Lytechinus pictus: one gene and its partners. The main gene of each other region encodes a partner of the protein of the gene in region 2 in a complex. Links are inferred from orthologs where the notes say so. Each region holds a gene or a part of one and is shown on either strand. Other genes may lie near its edges.

Region 1 (6,827 bases), on a different chromosome or scaffold from region 2:
TGGCTTGCTTGATGGCTTTCAGTTTTTCTTTGGCCTGGTAGATGGCTGTGGCCTAAACACATGGCAAAGGAAAATAGGGTCTAATTTGTTTAATTATTTATTCTTTGTTCATTCATTTATTTATTATATCTAATCCTTACATAAATTAGGCCCGTGTATATTCCAATGTTGTACAAAAATGGTAGAAACATTAAATACAAGGGACATTTTATAAAGCTGTTCATATATTATGTATGTTTTGCATGACTGGTGATCCTTTCTTGTGCTTAATCATAAATCACATATACATGTATGTAGATCACTGTTTTAAAATCTTATTTCGTAATAGAATTCTTAAGTGAACTGTATTCTCTTTTGTTAATGTGAATGCTTCTCACAACACTTGGCAATTGGTTTCACACAGGTGGGCCAGAAAAGGAAAGTGATTTAAACATGTCAACACTCAGTAATTCACATATTGTTTTTCTATGTTTTGGGTACTGAAGGAACACTAAGTGAATGGAAAATAAATCAACAAATCAGTGATGTAATTTTTACCAGAATGTACTCGGCTTCTTTGAGTTGTTTCTGTAATGTTTTGATATCTTCATCTCTCTTGTCTACTTCTTCCTGAAGCCCCTCAATCTCCTGCTTCATCTTCCTCTGTTCTTCCGTCTCTTTCAGCGTTGCTTCCAGCTCTTCATTCTTCTTCATCAATATCTCCATAATCTGTAGATTAAAGATAAAGACAAAACACATGACAAATCAAATTTCCAATTAAAAAAAAAATTGCTACTCAAAAAATTTAACCTACTAAACAATTTTCAATTCATTTTTTAAAATTCAATTAATTTATCTAACCATCATCAGTTATAATACAATTGCAGAGATACATAAAATTAATCATCATCAGACATATTGCATATCGCAAGGCTCCACATTAACTTTTTTTGGTGGTGGCCCGTTCGGGCCACCAAAACCATCAAATAATTTTTTTTGGTGGCCCGATATTAAAGTTTGGTGGCCCGAAAAATATAAAGAAAAACATTAAAAATGAATAAAACAAACTTCTGAAATATTAATTCTCATGCAGCCACTACCACTACCACTATGTTACTTTTACTTTATACATCTTGTATGTAAACCTTGTTTGCTGTTATTTTACTTTGCTAATTGATAAATGTTTCTATCGTTGTAAAAATGAAATGATTGAAAGAGAATAAATGAATTGTATTGTTCGCAGGTTGTGTGGACTTTTTTAAAAATCTCTGTATAGAGATAATGGTAAAGTAAATAAGTAGTGCATAGCAAATTCAGATAGATGTACAAAACAATGGTTTTTCCTTCCTTCCTCTTTGAATCCTAAAACCTAGATTATGCCCCAAATCCAGTTTATTTCTGTTTTCTCTTTAGCAGCATATTATAGAAGGAGAAAATCACAGAAAAATATGCTGCAAAATTAGAACAATGCATAAAAGGGGGAAACAAACGAAAATAATTTTCAAAAAGTATATTACAAAAAGAAAACAAAAATAATAAAAGAAATTAGTGAAATAAAACAAAAGAAAGAAAATGAAGAAAGAAAAAAACAAAGAACAGGGAAAAAAAGAAAAAAAAGAAAAGAAAAAAATTAGAGAGAAAAAAGAAAAGAAAATGAAAGAAAAATTAATAAAACAAAGTTAATAAAAAAATGGGGAAAAGGGGAAAATTAAGAAGCCATTACATATATTTTTTAACAGCTGTGGCAACAGTCTATTCTGACTGGAATATAATTATTAAAAGCCAAGCAAATAATTTTCACTTACTTTTTGGGAATGGCACATTTTTATTTTTATATCCTTTAGTTTGTATTATTTTATTTTCAGTAGAAACATATTTTTTAATCAGGCATATTCAATGGGAAGGGGTATAAATGGTTTAACCACTGTCAAAAAAAATGAAAGGAAAAAAATAAGAAAACGGCAAAAATTATATCTGGTGATTCTGGATAAAAAGTGTGAAAAAAGTCCTTCCCTATATTTGCCAAAATGTTGGAAAAAAAATCACATTTCATATCAATGAAATGCCTTCCCAAAGTATTTACTTTCTCAAGAGTGGTTTAAGAAGTCATTTATAAACAAGAAAGAAAGAAACTGTCTGTTTGTTTTTGGCTAGAAAATACACAGCTTCGAAAGAAACCAAGTATCAACATACATACAAATGCACATGTGGGACTGTGATGTGTTTTTATGTGTATTAATTCATGTGGAAATCGGTCTTTTTGAGTCAAAAGAGAGGTCATAATTCCTCTTCTTAATACTTGCAAATAATCAGGGTACACCAGATTTTCGTAATATAGACTGTAGAATTGCATTTCATTGGTGTAAAATGTGACTTTGACTGAGATTTTCAAAGTTCTGTGGAAGATTTCTCAGCAGCAACATTTTTTATCGCAGCTCCCCGAATCTGAGTAGGCTGAGCTAGATCTAGAGCACAGCTGTATTCAGTGGCTTCATGCAAAGCTCACGCCAGCCGGCCGGCGCGGTTGGCTGGATAATAGCTGCTGTATGCTATAGCTGTAGGCCTAATATGCAAACTTTGTGTGTGTGTATTTGTGTGTAGATCAACAAAAAGGGCGCATGACGAACTGGCTTGCAATTTGAGCTGTAGAAAGTTGATAAATGCGTGCAAAATTGGGAGAAAAATTGCGCTACTTTGAAAATTATTGGTTGCCCGATTCGGGCCACCAAAACTTAACATTTTATCAATAATGGTTGCCCGAGGTGAATTTTTGGTGGCCCTGGGCCACCGGGCCACCGCTAATGTCGAGCCTTGCATATCGATACAAATACCAAAACATACATCCATAAAATGATGGTTTGGTGACCCAGGAAAAGGCATAGCTTATAAAAAGGGGCCAAGTTAAAATACACACTGAAAATATGATATTTACACTATAAAGTATATTGACACAACAACAACAAAAAAACAATAATTAGAATTTTCTGTTGATCCATTATTTTTGTTTTGTTAGATTTTGCTTTGTTTTTCAATTCTTAGCTTAATGTCACACAGTCATTAAGAAGAACTTACTTGAGGTTCATCAGGATGAGGAACTCTTTGCCTAACTGCTGATGTCGCCTCACCGAGGTCTCTGTGTAAAAAACAAAAACAAAAACACAAATTAATATTTTTCAAGAGCTCCTTTACAGATAAGTTTGCAATTCTGACAGTATTAGAAAGAAAAAAAATACAGTATGTTCTGTAAGTGTAATGTTGTGGTCTATGACTGAGTTAGACCAAAAGCTTCGGTCTCTGTTATGTTGGTTGTTCAGCTGAACTCCGTTGGCTTCACTCACCAAATACAGAGACCGAAGTTCTAGCGCGATCTGTACAGGGGACTCAATGGCCATATGTTTATGTACTTAAGATCGGATAAAACGGGGAAGTGAATTTGCGCGACAGCCGAGGTAAGTCACTGTTTTTGTTCCTTTTAACTCGATTTTTCACCGTTTCTTGGCAATTAATGCCAAGAGGGAATATCAATTTGCATTTTGGTCGCATTAATTTTCAAAATGTTTATTGATTAAAGACAAAAATTGAAGAGCCCCGACGGGGGGATTTTGCATTGCAAGTCCCCTAATGGTGGCTGCACGCTAGCGAGCCGTCTGTGTATGAGGAGAACTTAAAAAAAAAAAATGTTAAAAAACTCCTCAAAACAGACGGCTGCCAGCTGTCTATGACTGAGTACGACTTATGAGCATGCAATAAAGTGAGATGTATGCCAACAAAATATCCCTCTTTCCCACCGTTTATCCCTCCTTTCCATTGTTTCTTTTTCTTTCTGTCTCTCCTCTTTGCTCTAGGCCTAGTCTTACTTCCCCATTTCATTTTGACTTTACTTTTTCTATTGCCCCTTTTGTTTTATTCTTCTTGGGTTCTCACCCCTTTTCCTCTTTTTCTGTTATTATTCATTTCTATTTCATTTCGTGCACTTTCTCTTTTACTCGTAGAATCTAATGCTCTGTTTTTCTTTCCTTTCCTCTCATCTTCATGGTATATCAATCCCCAGCAAAGTAGTAGCGCTGCCGCTGGCTCCCTCCTCCAATCGCGGCTGCCTGGCTTGGGCTGGCCGAGGGCCGAGGGCGAGGCGAGAGTCGTTCAACATCTGAACAAGGCCAAGCCCAAGTTGTCATTACAAGAGTTAGGTAAGAGAGAACCAAAATCGTTCATCAAATGTATTCATCACATCACCAAAAATACACAGTATAATCAAATTTATCTCACTTTGTTAACACTTCTGCTTCTTCCACAAGAGAAAGAAGTCTTGATTTTGCCGTCATGGAAGCCGCCATCTTGCTTTCGTCGTGACAGAAGTGAACGTAGATGGTGCTCGACTACTTTATAGATTTGGCAAAAACTTGTGAGTGAAAATGTACCGTATGTAATACATATATTTGCCCCTTGATTTGCCCCCACCACGGGGGGAAAGGCAATCTTTCAATAAAGTTCAAAGAAAAATAAAAACAAAAGAAGAAGACCAAAAAAGAATACTAGATGAAGCTTCATCCTCCATTTTTTCACCATCTGTTTTGGGTTTTTTTTTTCTTTTAATTATTATCATTTTTTTTTGCATGATTAGCCGAGCCCCCTCGATCCCTTTTCAAGACCCGTCATGCCCATGCATTAAATCATATATTACATTTTTTTTTAAGAAGGCGATATCCAAGGTGCGGAATAAATGTTATTTATCATCAAAACTATATAATAATAATACTTTACGCTCTTTCGTGATACAAGGTCAAGCCCGGCCATGCAGTGGCGACGTGAACCCAAAATTTTGAGAAGGCCAGATATGGCATATTGGGAAATTTTTTTTTTTTGCGAGCGAGTGAAGCGAGCGAGCAAAATTTTTGACACCTTTTCACATAAATCCAAATTTGTGATAGATTTTGACATAATATTCAGAAAATAATATCTTTCACCCAGCTCTTTTTCCTTTCTTTTTCTCTTGGTCTGACAAAAGGCTCCCCCCCCCCCCATTTGTATAGGCCCTTCGTACATCACTGGTCAAGCCGGTCTATAATATACTCTTTTTTCTTTTTTAGGTGATTTTTTACGGATTTTCAGTCAAATTTGACTATTTAAGCCGAATTTATTTTCCCTCATATAAAACTACGCAAAAATAAGTTCACAATGGTGACCGGCTAGGAGATTCAATCAAAATTCATAACGTAAGAAATATGAACTATTAACATGAAAATTGTTTAAAGGGGAAGTTCACCCTAAAAATTATAAAAATATTGGTGAAGGTTTGAGGAAAATCCATCAAAGGTTAAGAAAGTTATAATATTTAATTAGAGTTTTTTTTATTTTTTTGGGTCATATATGAGCAGCTGCCCCATTATAAAATGCATAAATTTTAAATTTGCAGTGGTTCATGATGACTCATTAATTGTTTGATTTCTTTCAGGAGTGGGTGTGACATATTTTTTTTGATTGGTATAGGCCTATACTGATCGAAGGTACAATAAAAACCATTTTCAATTTTATGAGAAAATGAATTTCCATTGTTTGTTTGCTTTTTTACCATACGATATGTGGAAGCTGCTCGCGTATGACGTCACAAATCCAAAAATTGAAATTCTAGTAAATTAAAAAAAAGTTCTTTTAGGGTTTTTCCTCAAACCTTCACCAATGTTTTTTTTATATTATTTCTGCTATTTTTACAACTTTTGTCAGGGTGAACTTTCCCTAATCAGCGGTGGTGAGGTGGTGAGGATTATTTTTCCCCATTGCTAATTTAGCATGAACATGCTTTTAATCGCCTGTTGTCAGTTGTTTTTTCTCTCTCTCGTTGGCCCTATGTATGATTCATTAATACATTTTTTTTCAATGTTAATATTTTTGGTGATTTTGCTTTTTTTTATTCTTGCATTTATACAAGCCACGTTTCTTGGTCTCTTTTACATTTCTTTTCTTTGTTTTTAAGCATACATTCATACATGTACTTTTGAAAATGTTTTATCTATCTTTGATATTTATTTATTGTATTTTTTGCAGTGTTATTGCCAATTAGCAAGTGTCAGCTCATTTTTTTATGATTGATTTTTATTTATTTATGTAATTGATAGGCCTATGTATTTATGAAGGTCTATTTCTGATTTGTGTGTTGAAAAATGGATATAGAAATGAAATAAACCACTGAAAAGAATTAAATTCTATTTACCATTTTTATGTTTTTGTTGTTGCTGCATATTATGGTCTATACGATATAATAATTTTGTATAGGCCCTACACATTTTCGGTATGTTGTTGGTATTGGTGGCATTCAGTTGCTGAGAACAGATTATAGGCGAATTTTTCTTCCTGATTTCTTTTTGTTTGACAATGAATCATATAACGACACATAAATATAATGAAACATACTCAATATCTGTATTTTTTTTTCTTGTCATTATAACCTTTTTTTCGGATATAGATCACCACGAGGGATCGGGGATATTTGCTCTTACCTTTTAAGCTTATAACATCAGACACGATTTTTTTTTAAACTTAATTACTTAAAAATGTTCATCTTGAGAAATCACATGGGATTGGGATTGATTTTTAAAAAATACATGTATATTTCATCAATAAAAAAGGGTATATTTATCGATCTAATTGCATCGAATGATCTCGAAGTCTAATCTAGCTGGGCCAGTTCATTTTAAAGGAAAGCTCTCTCTTGCTTTCATTGTTATTATTATTATTATTATTAGGCCTAGTAGATCTAGAGGTCTAGATCCGTCGCGTCCACATTGATTTTTGGTATAAATTTATACATAAATTGGATATGAATGTACCCAAATTAGACGAACCACCCTCTC
Region 2 (6,827 bases):
CACTTTGCCGCCTTCGCGTAACGCTTTGCATCGATTTACGTGTAAAATAGTTTTTGTGCCTAGTCTTTCCCTTGTAGTGTCTTTGATATGAAGATAAATCGCGTGCCCTCTTTAGCTCATTAGACAAAAAATTTGGGAGGGAAGCAGGGTCCGTATTTTGTCAATGAGAAGAAAAATCAACGCTTAAATAACATTATTTGAGGGATATTCATCATATTAGGGGGAATTGACTTCACATCGTTCAGTAAGTTTCTTAGAAGTACTTAGTTTTACAATTTTTTCGTAAAAAACTTAAGGAGTTTGTTGCAATTTTGCCAGCGCCGTGCCTTTAATTTTCCTGTGCACCCATGGGTGGATCTGGTTGACCCATTCATTTAACCTCACTGCACAAGTTGAATGTGACATTTGTTATTCATTAGAAGTACGTATTATTTATATCAAACAAAATTTTCAAAAGGGTCATTATTAATGCCAGTTCATCCCTGCTCAAACTCTAGAAAAATTATGACTCATTAGTCCGACATCGACTTGCGTTTAAGACAAGTCCACCCCAACAAAAAGTTCATTTGAATAAAAAGAGAAAAATCCAACAAGCATAACACTGAAAATTTTATCAATATCGGATATAAAATAAATAAGTTATGACGGGGACATTTTAAGGTTTCGCTTAATTTCACAAAAGAGTTATATGCGCATCCTGGTCTTTATGCAAATGAGGAGACTGATGACATCATCCACTCACTATTTCTTTTGTATTATATTATATGAAATATGAAATAATCTAATTTTCTCCTCTTTGTAAAGTGAAACAACGATTAATTCTTCCACGAACATGTGGAATTAGCATTGTCTAATACTATATGGTTCAGTCAAGTTGGTCCTTATTGTCAAATCTGTAACAAATTATATATTGTATATATTTCAAATAGAAAACAAAAGAAATAGTGAGGAACATCATCGACCGTCTCATTTGCACGTCACTGAGATGTGCATATCACTGTTTTGTGAAAAAAAAGCGAAACTTTAGTTTAACAGTCATAACTTTCTTATTTTTCGTCCGATTTTGATGAAAGTTTCAGCGTTATGCTAGTTTGATTTATCTCTATTTATTCAAATCAACATTTTTCTGGGGTGGACTTGACCTTTGAGCTTTGAGGGCAATATGCAACACATTTGTTGAATCGGAAAATGACCATCCCCAAGCCTTGAAATAAGCGGGCGCTGAGTGCAAATTCGCGCTCATAAAGCCATCAATTGCGCCCATAAAGCCCCAAAATCATCAAAATTTTGACGACCGGGCGCAAATATTTTCCCGGTAATTGCGCCCGCCGTGAGTGAGCAGTGAAGCCATATCATACATGTAATTTAAATATCTTAAAAGCCAAAATCAAGTAACTTTCAATTTACGATAAACACAGTTTAAATTGCCAAGTGCGTCTTTTTTTCTGTACCATAAAAAGTGAGCTACGTCCGTCTTTTTTTTTCTGTAATACATGTGCGCGCGTGCTTCCGGTAGCGGTTTTTCCATACTTCACCATATGCAATTTCTAATGCACACATTTCCAGTTGGGATATCACAATTCTGCGATATAGTAATTCCAATTGCACAGGAGATAAATCCGTTAAAATCCCTGTTCACAGCACATACGATGTGCGAGTCTTTTATCCTCAAAGTCGCCGACTTTGCTTGTCAAAACGGAGCCTTAATAATCCAAAATCACTTAGCTTATAGTTGTGAATTGTAGCTTTTTAATTTCTTTCTTGGAGAGAGGTAAATATCAGACAATAAATCATCAAACAAGGCTCCATCTAAAAAAAAAAAGAGGAGGATGCTGTGCACTTGAGTGTGGTGTTAGCTAGCCAGTTTGAGCTCATGTTCTCTGCCAGAGCTCTGGGTGAGAATTCTATCAGTAATGGCCTAAGTGATGGTGATTTTCCGTTTCAGATACAGTTTAGATTTCATGTTAATTTTTGAAAACTGTCAAAAAACTTTATGATTTCTTCATTGTGATGAATATTTAAGTTATTAATGAATACATTTTCACCGAATTTAGACTCTCCCAGAATGAAAGGCATTTTCTGTGGAGATCTGCGTTTTCAAATAACTTGTGAAAAACTTAAGGTACATGAACCTACAATACATGTACATAGCCTGTGGCTATGTGCTGGAATTTGAATAGACTGAGTTAGATATTGATATAATTTCTTCATGTCTTTAACATAATTTATATGCAATCCAAGTGCACCTCACAGTCACACTCACCCACACCCGTGATTCTAACCATGAAAAAAACCTTAAAAATTATTATTTTTTTTCTAAATTTATTATTTTTTTATCTGAATTCTCTTTCTCCATCTCTCTCTTTTTTATATTTTCATTTTATTCATATTTTTTTTTTTTTGGGGGGGGTTCATTGTTCGTGGTTCATTAAAGATGAAAAATAAATAAGCCCATGTGTGTGTGGTTGTAAAGGGGATGTGGAGTGAGGGTGTCAAAACACACTTAAACATTTAAATCTGATTTCTTAAATGTTTGAATAAGCCTAATACTTAGCATGCTATTCATGTACTAATTAAAAAATTGTAGGAGCTGCGCTTACTATAAACAAATTTGCGGTGTGGTTCACTTTTATATATATTTTTTCTAAATTGCCCCCGGTTCCTGTAAAAAGCCTGTGAGCCGGGGGCAATTAAAAAAAAAAAATTGATCCCGGCTCTCAGGTGCTTATTTCAAGGCTTGGCCATCGCCCAAAGAAAAAACCTTCCCTAATTCATACATCAGCATCAAGAAAACGTCACCTGAGAAATAAAAGATAAAGGCCGAACAAAAATTGATAATATTCATGAATTATGCAAACAAAAAATCACTTTTAAAACACAATTTTGTTCATCCATTTACCCATTTCATATTTTCAGCATCAAAAGACCTTTTCGAACTCGGAATCATGCTCGAAAAGAGAGAAAATTGATGTTTCATCGAATAGCGACGATATGAGGGAGAAAATAAAACCCGGAAGTAAGATCCCACAAAACTTAATATTTTCAAGATGGCGACTTTTTTGGGATGTACGAGTGAAAAGATCGTCTCTGTAAAATTAATGGACCTCAAAGTCAAACTCAAGAGTCAAGACACATGATGTAAGTTTTAAATGTAATCGTCTGGCATAAAAAATTAAAATTTATTTCCCTTACTCCTTAGTCCTTACAGTTACATACCATTCTTATTTTTAAAAAAGTTTGAGTGTTTGTCGAAATTATGTTATTGATCTCACCAATTTAACACGGTGACAGATACGAGAGTGTCGTACTCTCGAACCGGCTGTGATAGCTGTGATAGTTTTAAATGTAATCGTCTGGCATAAAAAATTAAAACTTATTTCCCTTAGGCCTAGTCCTTACAGTTACATACCATTATTACCATTCTTATTTTTAAAAAAGTTTGAGTGTTTTGTCGAAATTATGTTATTGATCTCACCAATTTAACACGGTGACAGATACGAGAGTGTCGTACTTTCAAACCGGCTGTGATAGCTAAATGTTGGCAAATCTGAAGTTACTTTTAACATAGGCATTCGTGCTTTCTTAGCAGTCAGGTAAAACAACCTCGGTATAACTAGCCAGGCGGCTTCTAGAGAGTAGAAATCATTTACTAACGTAAGGTCACTCTCATGAAGCCAGGGCTTCCGTCATATACTTTTGTGTGTACCACCAAAAAACCTGAAACTTTCGCCCCCGAGATTTCTACTTTCTTTACTTTCGCCAACGTTACAGACGCGTGCGTTCGGGTAACGTTGGGGAAGAACAATAGAAAACAAGATGGCGGCGTAAACATCGGGCAAGTCTCTTTCGTCTTTACACAATATTTCTCTCATTTTTTTGATGAATTCTTGTTAAAAAATAACAACGAGAGCGTAGAAATGTCGGAAATAAAGTTTTATCCCATGTACATGATTTAGATTTTAGGGCTAGATCTTTTAAAAAGAAAGTAGAAATCTCGGGGGCGAAAGTTTCAGGTTTTTTGGTGGTACACACAAAAGTATATGACGGAAGCCCTGGCTTCATGAGAGTGACCTTACGTTAGTAAATGATTTTTACTCTCTAGAAGCCGCCTGGCTAGGTATAACATAACATAACATAACATAACATTAACAATAACATGTTCAATATCTAATTCACTGACACAAATATGAACGTATGGGTCACAGAAATGACATTAACAATAACATGTTCAATATCTAATTCACTGACACAAATATGAACGTATGGGACACATTGAACAAGTTCTCTCACCAAACATTAGCGTCCGTTTTCGGCCAGTCAGCAACAAATGCAAGCTCCATCTTCCCAGTATCCAATGCTTCTCATTAATTTGTAAAAGGAACACTTGATTTGAAAGGTTCGCAAATTTTGATTCACTTTTAGGCAAAACTGCAAAATTCAGGCTGCTGCAACCAACTCAATATTCATCAACGTAGATGGCGCTTGAGAGTGACGCGTTTTTTGTTTGTTCAAGGCAGTTTTTATTGTTTTTCTGATTTCTTTCAATATTCGCAATGCACCCCGAAGAACAAAAAAAAAAAAAAAAAAACAACAACAATAATAATAATGAAAAAAAAGAACAAACATAAATCATATATCAAAAAATAGAATTGTAATGTACTCCTCCTCTAATTTTCTTTTTTCCTTATTTTCTTTTTGCATCCACTAGAGGATTCTAAAACCTATACTTCTAACTTTACTGTTCTGCTCTTTCCACAGCTGTGAACATTGCTGATTCAGCATCTACTGGATAAAGACAAACGGTACAAGAACCCATTTATGTTCACAGCTTTTGTGTTCAAACCTGCCTAGCTACCACCATGCCTACCGTATGCTGCCCAATTCCAGGCTGCGACTACGCCACGCCGGATCTGGATGCCTCTATTGTTGCTGCCCTGCTCACGACCCACTCCACAATTCATGCCTCTGCTGGGACAGGGTCTGCTGCCAAGATAGAGAAGGTCAAGAGGCCCACCATAGTTGCAGCCGGTACAAGCGAGGACTGGGCTTACTTCACTTCTCGATGGTCCGATTATGTGGAGTCTACCAAGATATCTGGCAATTAAGGACAAGGTCGTGCAACTCCTTGAATGCTGCGATGAGCCTCTTCGCAAGGACCTTATACAAGATCCTCTGGCGTCAGCCTCACCACCAAGTCTGAAGCAGAGGTGCTGGCGGCAATCAAGAGGCTCGCTGTGCGTGAGGAAAACACCATGGTAGCTCGAGTGGCGCTACATAACATGCGCCAGGACCGGGATGAGTACAGTCCGCAGCTTCGGGCCCGCTTACGTGGTCAAGCAGGGATCTGTAAGTTCATCATTAAGTGCCCTGGTTGCTCTATGGATGTCAACTACACTGATGAGATACTGCGGGATGCCCTGACCAGGGGAATCGCTGACCCCGAGATTCGATCAGCTCGACCTCTTGGGGGACAAGAACCAGACCATGGACTTCCCAGGACCAAAATCCAATTGAAACCAGTTGGATTTCCAACTGGTTTCAATTGGTTTCAATTGGTTTCAATTGGTTTTAACTGGAATATAACAATTTCCAATTGAAACCAGTTGGGCAACTGGAAATCCTAACTGGAACCCGTTGGGCAACTGGAAATCCTAACTGGAACCAGTTGGGTAACTGGAAATGACTTCCAACGGGAAATGATTTCTAACTGGAACCAGTTGGGTAACTGGAAATCCTAACTGGAACCAGTTGGGTAACTGGAAATGACTTCCAACTGGAAATGATTTCTAACTGGAACCAGTTGGGTAACTGGAAATCCTAACTGGAACCAGTTGGGTAACTGGAAATCCTAACTGGATCCAGTTGGGTAACTCAGTGGAAATGACTTCCAATTGGTTTCCAATTGGAAATTTTCCAGTTACCCAACTGGTTCCAATGAAACCAGTTAATTTGCATATTATCTGCCAGTGTGCACAGATTAATGTTTTATGTGATTCATCATCATTTAAAATGTATATATTTAATTCTTTTCTATTTCAAGTACCATACTTGTTTCAGATAAGTGTTTAGAATGCTTAGCAGTGAAAACCATGTTCATAAATGTTATATATTATAATTAAAACAGATTATAAGATAATTAGTACATCACTAACTGTTACCAAATTACATCAAATACAAATACATATATTTGAAGATCTTTCTTGTTATATACATACATTATGAAAGTCTATTTTATCAATGCACTTAACAATGGTATTATAGACATAGAGCACTGCTTCTTTGTTGGCATGAGCAATAGTTAGTGCAAAATCTAATTAATTTGTAACTAATTAAGTCATTCCAACTGGAAGTTCCAATTGGATTCAGTTGGAAACCAATTAGTTTCAACTGGTTCCAGTTGCCTCCAATTGGTTTCAACTGGAACCAATTGAAACCAGTTACCTCCAATTGGATTCAACTGGTTTTAATAGGGAAATTGGAACAACTGGAACCAATTGAAACCAGTTGCCAACTGGTTGCTTAATTGGTTTCAACTGGAACCAATTGAAACCAATTGCCAACTGGTTCCAGTTGCCCAATTGGTTTTAACTGGAACCAGTTGGCAACTGGTTTCAATTGGTTCCAGTTGTTCCAATTTCCCTATTGAAACCAGTTGGCCAACTGGTTTCAATTGGTTTTGCTCTAATTGGTTTCAGCTGGATTTTGGTCCTGGGTTAGAAGATGTCTTCCAGTTCATCGAGGCGAAGGAGGCTGGCAAGCGTTCTGCTTCATCCCTCCTGGACTCTCACGTCGTAAACTCCGCTAGCAGCTCATATCGGAAAACCAAT
Region 3 (6,827 bases), on a different chromosome or scaffold from region 2:
CTTAGACCATGAAGATTGGAGCATTCAATTGCTGAGAAAATTAAATTATGAATAGTTTATTTCATGACTAGAAAATCACATGTGGACGTTGAGATGGGTACCCCCGTGACATCGAATTTTAATAGTTTACGAAAGTAAACCATAACGGTTTTCTTTTTAAAATGATGATAATTATACGCCCTTCTACGATTCCAAACATCATCAAAATATAGTTTAACAAAATCAAAAATAAATATTTGATACCGAAACATACGATTTGACAATTTCTATGCATAAATTAGAGATAGAATTTATCCAAATGTTAATAGGGGTCTGAAAACAACAAATACGAGTCCAGTTATGGATGGCCTGACGTGGTAGAATCTTTATCGATTAAATCATTTTACTATTTCAAAGTGAATGGTTTTGTGGCGTTTTACCAACAGTTTTTATAGTTTCTTTGTATTAGAATTATCATTGAATGCATTATCCCACTTGTTTTATGATGTAATTTCAACCTCTATGATTGATTACGTAAGATTATTATTTTCAAATTTCTAGGCACTTTTGCATGTCATAGTCTACCCATGTGTAGACCAAAAGCTTCAGTCTCTGTATTTTGGTTGTTCCGCTGAACTACGTTGGCTCCACTCACAAAGCTTCAGTCTCTGTATTTTGGTTGTTCCGCTGAACTACGTTGGCTCCACTCACCATACATAGACTGAAGGGGATGGGGCCCCGTACCTACAGCCAACGTATAGTGAACTAGCGTTTTATAGATCGCGATTTAAAACTGTTTTTTAAGCAAAATTGAAAGTTTCATGGTTTCCATTATCAGGTAAATATAAATAACTTAAGTAATTGCATACCTTGGGCCGGAGTTATTGAAAAAAAATCCTCTGGATGATTGAGAAATATGTCATCTAAGACATTTTCACCTGACTTGACGGTTTTTCTTGCAAGTTGCCATCTTGAATGACGTCATTATCGTTATTAACTTAATGTCTCGAATCGATATATCGCGATTATAACTAGTACTAGTATCGTTTATCTTCGGTTTCGTTCGCATATGGAGCAGATCGTATAATAATTAATATCGAAAGCAATATCGATATCACATTCGTGATTGTTGACGTTCGTTTGTAAATATTTTATAGTTTGGCTGCCATTTTGACCATTTTTATCGTGTTCAACCCAATTAAACATCGGTAAAGTATATTTTTCATGCCTTTTTCATCTATATCGTTTAAAGTATTTAAACATTGAGATATAAAGCTTTAAAAGTTTGTTGTTTATACATCCTTAGATTGTAAATTCGATGTGTAAAATTACATCAAACTTTGGACTGTGAATTGACAAAAGGGAGGGAATGAGAACACATGCGAGCCCACACGTACACCCTACCGTCGGTAAATGGGGATTACAGTAAAATGTCAGAAATTGTTGAATAAATCCCCAGAAACGACGGTTATTCGTCTAACCCATGTGATGCTGCCACTACGTCATTAAGAAATAAGTTATGACAGGTTCGGAGGTGTCATAAATATTTAGTGAGGTTGTTGTACCTGATCTTGGTAAAGAGGGCTTCGTGAAACGGTTAGCGGACAAGTAGCTCACTATCTCCGATTTAGTCAAGAAGTTAGACTTATGACGGTGTTGAGAAACGGGCCCCAGGCCCCTGACGTCGCGTCGAGCGCGAGCGAGAGGATACGGAAAAAAACAAATCACACCCCCCAAGTTTCGGGCGATGCCTTCAATGCATTTTCGACAATATCGTACTTACCTCCCCGGTGTGCGATAAGCTTCGCGTTAATCTTTGATTTCTTCTTCGAATGAATCAATGTCGGATATCTGAACAACACAGATGATACAACAATATATCCACCTATTATAGACAAAGGTATGGCGTATGCAAGAGTACTCATTTTGGACAGATCTCAACTTCTTCCTCCTAATGTCTACTTTGATTTGGGAAACTCGCCGTGACTTTGCAAATCATCAATCTCCTTAGCTTTAATTTTTGCATTTGATCATAAATTTTGACAGTGCGCCATCTACTGTTAAGCTTGCTACAGCTGAGAAAACAATAAATTGGCGATGGCAGACCGTGTCACACAACTTCAAGACGCTGTAAATCAGGTAATATTATTTGCTACTGATGCATATTATAATTTGATTAATTGTGAAATTGTTTGAATTACAAAAAAGTGGTTTGATAGCAAATGGTAATCTGTCAAGATTGTAATAATACTAAGTTTCTCAATCAAAATATATGCCGGCCCCACGTATTCGTATTTGTGATGTTTTTTTTAAAGCCAGGAAGGGTCACACTCACAGGGTGGCCACATCCCATGTCTAGTCTGCTGGGCAAACCCTTCGCTCGAGTTAAGGGTCTGAATGTGCAGCCTACTCATGCCTTGTGTACTGAAGGCTCTCTCGCGAACAGCAAGTTTTGTATGTGCTAGTCTTTGCGTGGAGGCACACTTGTTGATCAAAGTTCCAATGAGGGTCTGTGCCTGCAGACTATCCCATGACATGTCTGCGCACTCACACGTATTGCGAGGTTAGTATGCTATATACAGTACTAACCTCGCACTACGAACGTGTTTACGCAATGGATTTTAGAGTTTGTCGGTTAACATCGCTTCATAACCTTGTTCATTGAATGAGTGTCATATCATAACGTGAATAATGTTCAACATTGACTTTGTTAGCCGAAACTTATTCCGCTGACTCACCAGGGGCACTCACACGTATTGCGAGGTTAGTGCTATACAAACCTCGCACCACGTACGTGTTTACAGTATGGATTTTAGAGTTGTCGGTTAACATCGCTTCATAACGCGAAGAATAAAATGTTCAATTTTACGAATTTTATTAATGGAAAAAGCATGCAAAAAAAGAGCAAAATCGCTTACCTCGGCCTGGAAAGTTGCTTCACATGTCTCTTCGACGGAAATAAAAGGAAGGTCATTGGTGGTGCTAATACAATTCACAACCTTAATTCAGATTGTCGGTATTTTTTAAACTAGATTTGTATTCATTGTATGCGCAATTCCAATGATTGTTTGATAAAATAGAGACACCAATAAATGCAATTACAGTACTTAAAAAACATACTTTTTATAATATTTGCTGACGATAATACTTTTTTATTTTTTTTCAAGCATCGATAATACTTTTTGGAAAATATTCAAAGCGATGACAAATTAAACAAAAAATATAGAAAATTCTATGTACCTTAAGTGCTACCGTTCATTTGTCAATTAACGTTCCCCCAAAGTCTTTACAGTAAAAAGATTGGACACTTTGCCGACTTCGCGTAACGCTTTGCATCAATTTACGTGTAAAATGGTTTTTGTGCCTAGTCTTTCCCTTGTGGTGTCTTTGATATGAAGATAAATCGCGCGCCCTCTTTAGCTCATTATACAAAAAATTTGGGAGATGGTAGCAGGGTCCGTATTTTGCCAACAAGAAGAAAAATCAACGCTTAAATGACGCAATTTGAGGGATATTCATCATATTAGGGGGAATTGACTTGACATCGTTCGGAAAGTTTCTTATAAGTACTTAGTTTTACAATTTTTTGGGGGAAATTCGCGGGAGTTTGATTCAATTTTGCATGCGCTGTTCCTTCAATTTTCCTGTAGACGGCGGCAATAATGCACCCATGGGTGCACCAGGGCGTTTTCGGCATTAAAATTCTAACCCAGGCAGGGACTGGTCCGTGTAACTGTAATATTAGTTAGCGGGTACTCTCCAAAATGGGGTAGAATGGGGTCGCAATAGCGCCCCAAATAAAAGGGGAAAACATAAATAATGCACTTACCTAGATTATAATATATGGATGAAGGTCTATCGTGTCACAGAATCCTGACATCGAGGCATAAACTGGACCCTCAAAAAAAGGAAAAGTTCTGTCACGTTCGTTCTCCTTCTTTCAAAATTGAAAACAAAATGGCCGATCGAGAACGAACGCGACATGGAGGTCTAACTTTTCCTTTTCTTGTCCTCACCTGCTTCAATTTTGGAGGCCTCAATATGTTTTTTTATTTTTCATTATAAAAACGGGATAAAAAATATAAAAAAATAAAACTAAAAAAATCCCCAAATCCTTTTGGAAAACATTCAGAAACAGTTCCTTTTGCAACACCCCCTCTCTCTCTCTCCATATTCCTCTGTCCATCTGTCTAATATCTCTTGTTAATTTCAGCTTGCTGAGCACATGTGCAATAGCATTGGTGTACTCCAACAGAGTGCTCAGCCGTCCAAGTTCCCTGGGTGTGAGAAACAAGGTACGTATGTCCATGAATGTCATGAAGATTACAGCTCTCTATTTTGACTAAAGGAAGAAAGTAATGTTTTTAGTGCGTTCACATTTTACAAATGTATTTTCACAGAAACACAATGATAATGCTATGAAGCCTACAGTATGCACACAGTGGCAAACTGCCAATTGACTGTGTTCAACGTACATGTATAGCCCTGCTCTACAGAGCAATTCAGAGACCACTGATTGATTCATCCCGCAGATCACATAATGACCACGTGTTCACCACAATTATTTGTTCAATAGGTGTGCGAATGTATCAATAGCGATAACGTTATCAGGCCACCTTTTCTGCACATGATATGATTATTTAATTTTTATTCAGCAATTTCATGGATATTCATGCAACGCTCGCAAACCCGGAACTCAATTGACTCCGTATACATTGTGATAGATTCTGTGAACACTAGCGAATAAAATGAAACACCAACGCTATTGGGTAAAATTTTGACAGAAAAGCAAGAAGGTAATTGAAATATGCTATAGGCCTACCTGTGCTGTATCTGTTTGAAAACAGATTCTCAAAAATATCTCTCACAATTCCAAAATTCATATGAAATATAGGAAAGTGTCAAAATTCTATGTCGATACGAGGTGATAAAGAATTGAAGTCTTGTTTTGATAGAATGCTGTGCTAGGTACTGGGAGGTTTGTACTGCGCATGCTTACTATAATGTCATTCATAAATTAGCTGGTGATAGTGGCTGGATGATGTCACGTAATATAAGCAAAAATGTAGTCACTCGCTGAGACAAATGCTATGCTATCCATTTGGTGCAGTTTGCCACTGTGATGCATGTTGTGTCAATGTAAATTTCAGACATTTTTTGCTGTTTACAGGATATTGCACCTTTAGTACTTGCTTCCTTTTGTCAGAGTAGAGCAAAATTGCTACCAAAGTTGTTGTGACAGCAATTATTTTGAAATATAATAACGATAAAAATATTTTAAAGGTTTTTAGTGTAGGCCTAGCTCTGGTATTGACAGAAATTGATCTCTTAAGTGCCTTACAAAATCATGTACAAATAGTTATAAAACATAATTTTAGTACAAGTGCAAGAATCTGTATTTTTTTTTATATGATCCTTTTGTAAACACACACATTTTTGCCATTGGCTGCCATATGTGTAATTGTTCTAATAAATAAACCATGAATATATGAAGTTTTCTTTGAAAGTAGTAGATTTTTATGATTTTGGCAAGTGAATATATGGTGTGGTACTGCCAAATGTTAAGTATCCTGTCAATTTTAAAATATTTAGTAAGTGCTTTTAAAACTGTTTTATAAAATGGGATAGGCCTATCTGATTTCACTACCACAAATGCTTGGCAATGTTCTAGTGGATTTATGGTTTTTTTTCACAATGACTATTAATCATCCTACGGGCCTTATTTTGTAAGAAGTACAGTATCTGTCACTAAAATACATATATTCTTATTTTTAGTTAATTAGAATAAAGTAACAAAAGACCAATTAATAGGGCATTGAGGCTGGTCAAAAGGTCATTCATGTCCATGGCATTGGATGACCTTTGATTCATTTAATCCCTGCAGTGATTTAAATTCTAATCTGCCTTTAACCCTTAGCCTCTCAAGAACAGCAGCCTAATCATGAGGATTACACTCAGCTCTTTGCTCAACTGATTGCCAGGACAGCCAAGGACATAGATGTACTGATAGATTCTCTACCAAGTGAAGAATCTACTGTTGAACTTCAGGTAATACTTTTATACAATTAACATTTCTATAGCATGGTAAACAGGTGAATTTGAATTAGTCAAATTTGTTGGGCCACAGAAATGTATTCAGCAAAATTTGATTTAGGAAAAAATAAATAGCACATGCTTTGCATACTATGGTCTGAAAAATTACTATGACTTGTGTAATCTTTCGACTCATTATAATTATGTGGAAGAAAAGAGTCACTGGTACACTGGTCCATAATGAAAAAGGAGAAAACAGTTTTGGTTGTGATTTTTTTTTAATTTCTAATAAACACTATCGAGTATCTGACTATTTCACCTATAAGAATGTCGAAATCCAATTGTTGAGAAGAAAAAAAAAGGATCTTTGTATATGACTTAACAGAAAGTTGTATGGGGGAGAAAGTGTTTGAAAATTTAGTACATTGATAAACCAAATACACTACTCAAAAAAAGTTAAGGACCACTTTTTAAAACGTACATAAAGATTTTATACAAGGTGTTTTATTTCTGGAAATACCTCAGTACAACTGTCCTAAATGTCCTTAAACACGCTGTAATCAATTTCACGCATGGGTGGTTTCAGTTGTTGCACAATGTCTCTCGCATCACTGCACATCCTGAAAAGTGGGCCCCGAGGGGTATCAGCTACCGACATGAAGTGGTAAAAACGAATGTCTGAGTGTCTTTCAGGCAGTTCAGTAACGAGTGTGACCACCTCCTGCAGCAATAACGGCTTCACAGCGCTGTCTCATGGAGCTGATGAGGCGATTGATGTCTCTGATGTCCAGTGCATCCCATGCAGCCCCCAGAGC

The links. The genes of interacting proteins can lie anywhere in the genome.
Region 1: mediator of RNA polymerase II transcription subunit 16-like (region 2) and mediator of RNA polymerase II transcription subunit 4-like share a complex: the UniProt entries of both Drosophila melanogaster proteins name them as parts of the mediator complex. The link is inferred for Lytechinus pictus from reciprocal best matches to the Drosophila melanogaster genes MED16 and MED4.
Region 3: mediator of RNA polymerase II transcription subunit 16-like (region 2) and mediator of RNA polymerase II transcription subunit 21-like share a complex: the UniProt entries of both Drosophila melanogaster proteins name them as parts of the mediator complex. The link is inferred for Lytechinus pictus from reciprocal best matches to the Drosophila melanogaster genes MED16 and MED21.

What each region holds. Positions count from the first base shown.
Region 1 is NC_087260.1:10,321,020-10,327,846, forward strand, and holds the start of mediator of RNA polymerase II transcription subunit 4-like, read right to left. Parts: upstream 4,337-6,827; 5' UTR 4,314-4,336; coding exon 4,246-4,313; intron 3,113-4,245; coding exon 3,052-3,112; intron 709-3,051; coding exon 538-708; intron 53-537; coding exon 1-52. UniProt on the Drosophila melanogaster protein: Component of the Mediator complex, a coactivator involved in the regulated transcription of nearly all RNA polymerase II-dependent genes.
Region 2 is NC_087257.1:27,439,623-27,446,449, forward strand, and holds the start of mediator of RNA polymerase II transcription subunit 16-like, read right to left. Parts: upstream 4,494-6,827; 5' UTR 4,341-4,493; coding exon 4,291-4,340; intron 1-4,290. UniProt on the Drosophila melanogaster protein: Component of the Mediator complex, a coactivator involved in the regulated transcription of nearly all RNA polymerase II-dependent genes.
Region 3 is NC_087246.1:11,386,840-11,393,666, reverse strand, and holds the start of mediator of RNA polymerase II transcription subunit 21-like, read left to right. Parts: upstream 1-2,014; 5' UTR 2,015-2,076; coding exon 2,077-2,118; intron 2,119-4,192; coding exon 4,193-4,274; intron 4,275-5,896; coding exon 5,897-6,027; intron 6,028-6,827. UniProt on the Drosophila melanogaster protein: Component of the Mediator complex, a coactivator involved in the regulated transcription of nearly all RNA polymerase II-dependent genes.